2 linked regions of the Oryzias latipes genome follow. The protein of the gene in region 1 binds, or shares a complex with, the protein of each later gene. Links are inferred from orthologs where the notes say so. Each region holds a gene or a part of one and is shown on either strand. Other genes may lie near its edges.

Region 1 (4,545 bases):
AAATTGGACCAGTTTCCATCATTTTGAGTCTGCAAAACATAGTGGTTATTTGGTGAACTGACCTTACTGTCATTTTCTGCTCACAGACTGTATGACGTTGCTGCCCCTAGATAGGGATTAGGGAAGAACAGTCGGTCTTTTTGTCATCCTAAAATCTGAGTTTTTTTATTTCGACATCTGAAACCCTTTTTAAATGATTTAAGCATTTGCAGCAAAACTTTACCCTCAACATTTTTAAAAGCTAGAAAACTGGGAGCAGAAGAAAACGGTCAGAACTTGTGTCACGCTTTGCAAACATACAACTCTGCACACAAGAACCAAACACTCAACAATTTTATGGAGACAAAATAAGGAGTAAAACACTTTTGAGTTCAAATGTTTCACTGAGCTCCAGTAAATCTGCCGAAGTGATAGCAGCTTATGGAATTTCTGCAGCTTTGACTTAATGCAACATTTGATCACTCAGGAAATGACATCGAAAATAATACAAACTCGAGGGTTTAATAAAGAAAAAATTGATGAGTCAGTGACAAAGATCCTCCGCAGAGCTGCATATTTACAGCACGTCCTCTCATGACTGAGCTGTACGGCTCCCTGCTCCCTCTGATGTCAGGACTCCTGCTCATTTGATGGGCTTGGCCTCGGCCGGGTTCTCCCCAGTGTCCAGGGTCTTCAGAAGGCGGAAGAGGCCGGCCGCTTCACGGATGCGGCTGAACTCTATGCAGAAGGCCTGCACCTCGATGAACAGGTCCTGGACGTTGATGATCTTGTTTCGGATCAGCGACTGCAGGAAGACGCACACCAGCCGGACCAGGCGGTTCTGCAAGAATCAAGCGGGTTTTTATTCCAGAGGAAAACTCTTGAGCTCTCTTCAGCAGTTCACAGTTCCAAGAACGCGTGTTGACCTGCATGTATTTGTCTTTGATCTGCTCACACGTGGAGATGCAGTTGGAGATGTAGAGGTGGATGAATTCTGGAGGCAGATCCACAGCTGTGGTTAACCTGACGGAGGAGAGCAAACAACTCCATCACTTCCAAACTACAGAAACAGCACCAAACTGGAACCCAACTGGAGATTCGTTAACAGGTCTGAATACAGCCAAAGCCCCGCCCCCACCTGTTTACCACCTCCATGGAGTGCAGCGACATGTCCATGTTGACGAGCACTGAGAAATACTCTGTGATCTGGCTGCTCTGCATCAGTTTTAGCAGCATCTCGATGGCCACCAGTGGGTTGTTCTCCACCAGCTCAGGCAGCTTCACAGGCGTCAGGCCGATGTGATACACCAGCTTTGGGTCTTTCTCCAACTCAGCCAGCAGCTGCACACACGGCGAGGTCAATACAGAGGAGTGACAGCGGTGCACAGCAGTAGGAGTCAACGCCTCCACAAGAAATAATTTGTCTTTTAGGGAACGGACGATAAAGTTTTTGAGTGAAGGGAAAAATAAAGGTTGATTTTTTTTAAGACCACCAGAAAACTAATCCAGGAAGACAAAGGTTAAAAAAGAAACAAATACTTTTCCCACAAATTGTGTTTTTGTTTTGATAAATCTTGATTTAAAAATGAAAAAAGAGCAGATCTGAAGTTAAGTTTTTGTTTCTTTGCAAAGAACAGGAGTTCCTATTTTAAATAAAGTTTTTATTTTAACCCTGACTTTGCCTTTGTGTAAACCAAACATGTTGTTGATCAGCATCAGACCTACCTGGGACTGCTGCTGAGCCGACAGCGGACTCTTGAAGGCCTTGGCCATGATGCGTTTGATCTCCACGCCGGTGCTGTTCTTCACACACATTGACCGATCCCACTGGATGCAGTGGTCCGGCTCGGTGGGGTTCAGCCACGCCAGCTCATCTTCGCATGTGTGGAGCGGAGGCGTCGGCCGGATGAACTCGGGTCGAAAATGACCTGGGAGGGTTTTGAGAAACTGGTACTTACCATGCCTCATAGCAACACCTTCAGACAGACGGCCTTTGAACAAAGTCTAAATACTTTAATATAAAACTACTGAAAAATGACATAACTTCAGCAAAAACCTTCTAGACAGTCACTCAAACACTTTTTTTTTTAAAGTATCAGTTAAAGATCAATCGCACTCAACAGATCAGGTCGGCGCCGATCAACCTGTAACCGTGAGTTTTTGCTGAGGAGACGGCTACCATCTTTTCTGAGGAGATTCCTTCTTTCTTCCACAGATGTGATCACAGCTTGTGTGAAAAAAAGCACTTACTCTCCAGAGGAGGACGCAGCCCTGTGACCAGAGACTCAATGATCTGATTGGCCACAGAGCTGTCGAAGCCTGAGTTGGAGGAGTCTGGATCGGGGTCGTTGAGGATGCTGGGGAAGCTGGCTTTGCTCTGGGTGGGCAGCTCTGACTGGCGCTCTGCAAAAAGAGGGCTGGGATTGACGGCGTCTTCACCTGTGATGAGATGTTTCCTTACAACCTTCACTGACCTGCTAAAGGAAGCTGCAGCCCGCTGATGTCTATAGATGGGGGCATGTTGCTCACGTCCATGCAGGACACCTGTCTGGGGGTCTTTTTGAAGAGGTCTCTGGGCGGAGCCAGCATCAGCTGGGACAGGAAGAACTTCTCCGGCTGCGTGATGGGAGGAAGGAAGCCTGGACCCAACGAAACAGAGACTGAGCGGCTGCGGTTCTGATGAGACGTCGGGCTAAAGGTGAAAGGAAGCGGCCCTACCGGACAGGGCTTTCTCCTGCTCATCCCCGGAAGGTGCTGGGTTTAGCAGGTGCGCGAACACGGCGGCGAACGGGTTCGCGGCCAACGGCTCGGTTCGGTACATCTCCCAGAGCAGATAGAGGGCTGTGAGCCGCTGCGGAGAGCTGGGCAGCAGGTCCGGCTGCTGCAGCAGCATGACCAGAACCGAACCCACCTTGAAGTGGTCCGCCTTCCCAAAGTAATGATGGAAATGAGTGGAGAGGGTCTCGAAGCTGTTGTTGCAGGCCTCATCCGAGATTATGCTCAGCAGGTTGGACAGTTCCTTTGGAGCCAGAGTCATCGTTTCCCCGCCACAGTTCGATCGGATGCAGAGATTGACCGGGGTCCCTGATAAGTCTTTCTGTATAACTATAGCGGCGCTCTTACCCGCTTATTCATCTTTGAAGACGCAGAGTGGAGGACGGTGGCCCAGAAGTCATCTCGATTGAGATCCTATAACGCGGTTAGCATCAAGTTAGCCTAGCTTAAAAATAAGCTACAAAACCGGGAAACTCGTCAAAACATCAATCATCTTTTTAAAAATAATTATCCAAATAGATTAAATGAACGTATAACTTATCAATCGAACCAAAGAGTTACAAAAGATAATATTTCCAGGACTGAGAAAGAAATAAGACCCTGAATGGGATAGTGCTGCGAGCCATTAGCTTGAAGTATTTTTTAGTCGTATTTTCCGGTGAACTGCATCTTGGGTGATGTAGTTTTCTTCAGTTTCTCTCCAGTCCAGCAGGTGGAAATGGTATATGAATTATTCCTACCAAATAATCGTTCACATTTGTTTTATTTAAATAGATAGATAGAGAGGGAGAGGGAGAGAGAGAGAGTTAAGAGAAGGTAGAGATAGCAGTACTCTGCCTTTTAGGCTCAGGTAAGAGACCTAAATTAAAACCCATAAGTTAAAACGTTTTACTAGGGACTGAAATTTGAAGAACTTCTCTTATGTTCGTTTTAGGTGATGGTAATCCCTAGGTATGTTACACAGTGTTGGAGTACAATGTCTGTCACCATAGACGATCTCTGTCTGATTATGTTATTACGTAAGCATGCGCCAATTTTTTTTACGTGCAGTTGAAAATAAAAAGGAAGGCGCAGCCTCTCATCATAGTCAAGACGAAGTGAGTGGGGAGCTGCACTTCAGGTTCAGAATGAAATGTCTCCTGTGTCCATTATTTAAGAGTTAAGAAGCAAACACGGTTGTGTGTAACAGGGATGTCTTTAACGGCTTTGGCGTCGGGAGAGAGTTCCCGAGCGGCAAGAGAGACAACTGCTGCTGCTGGAGAGCCAACACACAGTTTCCATAATTTTTGGTGATAGTAATCCCTAGGTGTGTTACATGTATGTGATGGGAATTTTACATATGGATCGTGTTTTGTCAAATTTGATAGGTAGTTCTTCACATTTTTGATGTTAAGATGAAGTGCAGGGCCATTAGAAAAATCTTTTACTAGATTTAGGGCTCGGGGAATTTGACTGCCATCTTTAAAAAAAAAATGTTAATATTAATATCATCTGTATCTAGACGATCAAAAACAAGCCAGTATATGGCTAATATGTGACTGCCGGGAGATACTTTTGTTGCTCCATGTAAAACTTGATCTTGTTTGGATTCTTCTCTCCAAGGATCTTTTAAATGAAAACTTTGTATAAATTAAAGTAGTTCAGCATTAGGATTATTAGTTTGTAGTGGCCATCTATCCAGTCGACAATCTAACACCATATTCAGGTCTCCTCCAATTATAATTATTGCATGGGGAAGTTTGTTTAAACATTCAGGTGAACAATTTTCTATTATGGATAGGAGTTGAGAAT
Region 2 (3,814 bases), on another chromosome or scaffold:
CCTGCAGCCGCTAACCAGAGCGGCGGCGCGGCTCGCAGTCTGGATTCTCCCACACATAACAAAACGCACACGTAACAAAGCATCCTCCCCCCTCGGACACAAAATTATTAATCCAGCTCCTCTGTTCACTCGGGTGCCAGTGGACCGAGTGAGCGTCGGGGGGTACGAAGCGCCCCTTCCCCGCATTCCCTTCGTAAGGGGTGTAAGAGAGGGGAGAGCCAGCGGGGCGAGAGCGGAGCGGCGCTTTTCACGGGGCGTCCGCAGAGCTGGACGGTCCTGTATGAGCTTTCTCACAGCCAAACACCGTCTATGCGTGACGTAAACCAGAGCAGTAGTGACACACGATCGGAATGACCGTTTACATGCTCCACGATCGGATAAACGATCGGTATAACCCACCTATCTCAATCGGAAAGAAATTCTGATCCGAATGAGTCTGATCGGGGCAGAGTATTCCGAACGGGGCGTTTACATGACACATTTTCTTTCCGATCAGACGTTCATTCCGATTACTTTTGCCCATGTAAACGCGGCTAATCAGAAGAAGAAAAAAGTATCAGTGGCTCACATGAGAGCTCCATCATCTCTTTGCGGACTTCGAGCAGTACAGCGACTCCAATGTTGTCCTTTGTCATCACCCTGTTGAGCATGGCCTCTGAGCCCTCGGAGTTAGCCATGGCCAGCTGGTTGAACTCTACCGTGTGTTTTTGCACGGCGCTGAATCTGGAGAGGAAGCCAGAACAAAGGCAATGAAAGTTAAAACCCATTTTGTGGGTAGAAATCAGAGTCGAAAGAACATTCTTAAAGAAAGACTTCAAATTGAGGACAAAAAAACACAGATTTCAGCTGCAAAGTGACAACAGGTGATGATGACTAAATCTTTGCAAGCAGTTAAAAACACTATTAATTCCACATGACCCCTTTCAAGTTATGTACCCAAGTTAGGACAGTCAAAACAGTAAAAAACTATTAAATAACCACGCCGATAAACAAGTAAATTTATGTTTTAAAAAATTGGTCTAAAACTGTGGCAAATGACTAACGCTGCATTTCCTCATCAAAGTAAGTGTGGAGGAACTTCAGATGGAAGTGAGCTCTAAGACCTACAGTCTGGTGCAAAGCCTCTTTTCTTTGAGTAATGCTCTGTTCCCTGTCAAATAAACTAAAAAATGAGAAGAAAGACATTAATATTTCTACTTAAACTCCAAACACTGTATAAACAACACCCGAGGCTATAGAACGCATTCACTGGAACACAAACTATTTCCTCTAGCCAAAGAGTCAAACACATTTGACTCCATTAGGCATTTCTTTTAAAAGGAAAAAAAAAAACAGATTCAAAATGTGCAGATTTAAAGATTTTTTCAAATAAAGTAACAGAAGTAAAGTAAGCTACATTTGTCCTGTTTTTAAGACTGAAGTGCATCTAAAAACATCCAATAATTATAAACAGACAGAGTTAGCATTCCAATAAGAAAACATCTCTGAAGTTTGAGCTTATTAAGGGAAAACAGGCGGATACAAAGTAAAGGCATTCTGGCGCGGAGCGGTGGGGGGGGGGGGGGGGGTGTCACTCTTTACAGAAGGCCCACTGGTGCCACAGATTTACTGTTCTGAGACAACATGAATGTTACAAGCAGGAATTATGAAGCACAAGAGGGACAAAAGGGAGGAAACGCTGGGGGGGGGGGACACATGAAAGCAGCGCTATTTCTTCACATTGCAAAGAGAAGTGTGCTTTCAGTTTATGTTATAAATCCTACATTTATGATGCAACTTACTTCTCTGTTTTGTAAAAAATAGCACAGCCGTCCACATGTTTACGGTCCGACTCCGACATCGTTCGCGCTCGGGATTTTGGACTGAAGAACCCGTCATATCCTTGATCTTTCAGCTCAGGCAAGAAGAAGTTGTAGTATTGCTCCGTCTCAACTTCCTAAAAAATCAACACAAAAATAAAAATCTCCTTCAAGATGAATATTTAATAAAAGAAATAAACAGACTGTGGCTAATATGGAAAATGCTAACCAGGTTTGAACTTTTTCTAAAGTTCAATCCAGAATAATTTGACATCAATCTGGACTTCTTTATATTTGAAAACCCGATCGATTTGACTAAATTAGTCAGATAACAAAAAGAAATGTGTAGAAATAAAATATCTTAAACATAAATGCATGTTTCTGAAAAAAGGCTTTAAACGTTGGTCACTTAAACCTTTTCTGATCAACTTTAGACACTTTTATTAAAGATGCATTGTTATTTTTAAATTGAGCAGAGACTTATGGTTGATTATTTTAGCAGAAAAACTGCTGTTCTTTTTGGATCAAAGCAAAACCTCAGCAGATACTTTGTTGGTTCTCACCTGCAAGCTGATGATGTCTGAGTTGCAGCCCATAATTTCCTGTATGATGGATTTCTTCCTGTACTCCCAGTTTAGAGCCCAGGAGGGGCAGTAGCCGTACAGCTGTCGGGTGGCGTACTTATCGCACAGCACATTGTAGCACATCACAGAGAACAAAGCTGGGGCCGGAAAAGAAGACAAAAATTCAAGTAAGTGCCGGATAAAAACTCCAAAATGCTCATCATCTAAAATACAATTCATACATTAAGAGGCTTTAAAAATCGCCTTTGGCATTTATGCCAAAAAACAACTTTTTACTGTGTCCAGCAGAAGGTAGAACCACAATAACATGGTTCTTCATTCGTCTCTACAGCTGCTAAAAAGGAGGAGAGCATCAAAACAGAAACTAACAAGATCAAAGTAGAACTGCAAACACTGAAATTCCCCAAAATTTGTCAAGGCTCTAAGACTTTAACACTTGTGTGAGTTGTGATCACCAAATTTCAACACGAATTTGGTGAAATATGAAGTGACACTCTCAGGACTGGAATAGCACAACTGTGTGTTTTAAACATGACTCAGCTGATTCTGACTTAGAGAAAAGCAACTTTTCATATCAGCTTTGCACCGATATGCAACACAGTATTAAAGTAAAGTGGCTTTAATTTACACTGATTGTGTAATCACTTCAGTGCTGTGCAGTGTTGCCTATCAGTGCATGGCTTCTGTTCTCTGCTTCCAAATCTGTTAAAGAGTTACAGTAATGGAAAGAATGTAAACACTGGAGCTATAGCTCCAATCTTAAAAATGAGACCACAACACCTTCACTTTTCTTTTTACTGCTCCTTCTCACTAATAAAATACACACATTGGATAGACTGCAGGCTGAAATACAGATGTTACTGGATAAACAGCTGCCTGACAGTGAGGAATAATCTAAAAAGTGAAGTTTGTGTGTCATCTGCACCTGAGGAGCGCGTTCGTTCAGGTTCCTGGAGTGAGATCCATGACCGGGCTGGAGGCTGCTCTGTTGGTACTGCAAAAATTAAAATTAAAAATAAATATATATAGTTTTTTTGTTTTTCTTTTTTCAATGAGGCACAATTTCCGCACAAACACCACTAGCACAGTAACAAATGTCCCAACCAGACAGCATGCAGTCATTATTTTGCTATGCTGGATAAGGACAGATTGCAGTAAAGTGGATGATTGCTACTTACTGCGTTTAATAGCACCTGCCAGATTGTCTAACAAGTAGCTGAGCAGTCTTCGTGTGCCATCGGGTTCCTGGTAGAGGCTCATTATTTCTTGTGCAAGTGGGTTTCCTGGTGAATAAATATTTCATCAGAAACAAAAAAAATAAAAAAACAATCATTAACAGAACATTGGGGATTTCAACGCTTGAATGCCCACTAAGAACCATTTAGGAGCCACTGACCTTTCAACCCAAGAGTTTGTAACTGAAAAAGTTTC

The links.
Region 2: cnot11 (region 1) and CCR4-NOT transcription complex subunit 6 share a complex: the UniProt entries of both Homo sapiens proteins name them as parts of the CCR4-NOT complex. The link is inferred for Oryzias latipes from reciprocal best matches to the Homo sapiens genes CNOT11 and CNOT6.

The regions. Positions count from the first base shown.
Region 1 is NC_019879.2:14,490,583-14,495,127, reverse strand, and holds cnot11 (CCR4-NOT transcription complex subunit 11), read right to left. Parts: upstream 3,017-4,545; coding exon 2,698-3,016; intron 2,619-2,697; coding exon 2,454-2,618; intron 2,383-2,453; coding exon 2,230-2,382; intron 1,908-2,229; coding exon 1,705-1,907; intron 1,321-1,704; coding exon 1,118-1,320; intron 1,003-1,117; coding exon 906-1,002; intron 821-905; coding exon 623-820; 3' UTR 316-622; downstream 1-315. UniProt on the Homo sapiens protein: Component of the CCR4-NOT complex which is one of the major cellular mRNA deadenylases and is linked to various cellular processes including bulk mRNA degradation, miRNA-mediated repression, translational repression during translational initiation and general transcription regulation.
Region 2 is NC_019868.2:16,548,615-16,552,428, reverse strand, and holds part of CCR4-NOT transcription complex subunit 6, read right to left. Parts: coding exon 3,780-3,814; intron 3,667-3,779; coding exon 3,562-3,666; intron 3,378-3,561; coding exon 3,309-3,377; intron 2,521-3,308; coding exon 2,363-2,520; intron 1,937-2,362; coding exon 1,782-1,936; intron 724-1,781; coding exon 569-723; intron 1-568. UniProt on the Homo sapiens protein: Poly(A) nuclease with 3'-5' RNase activity.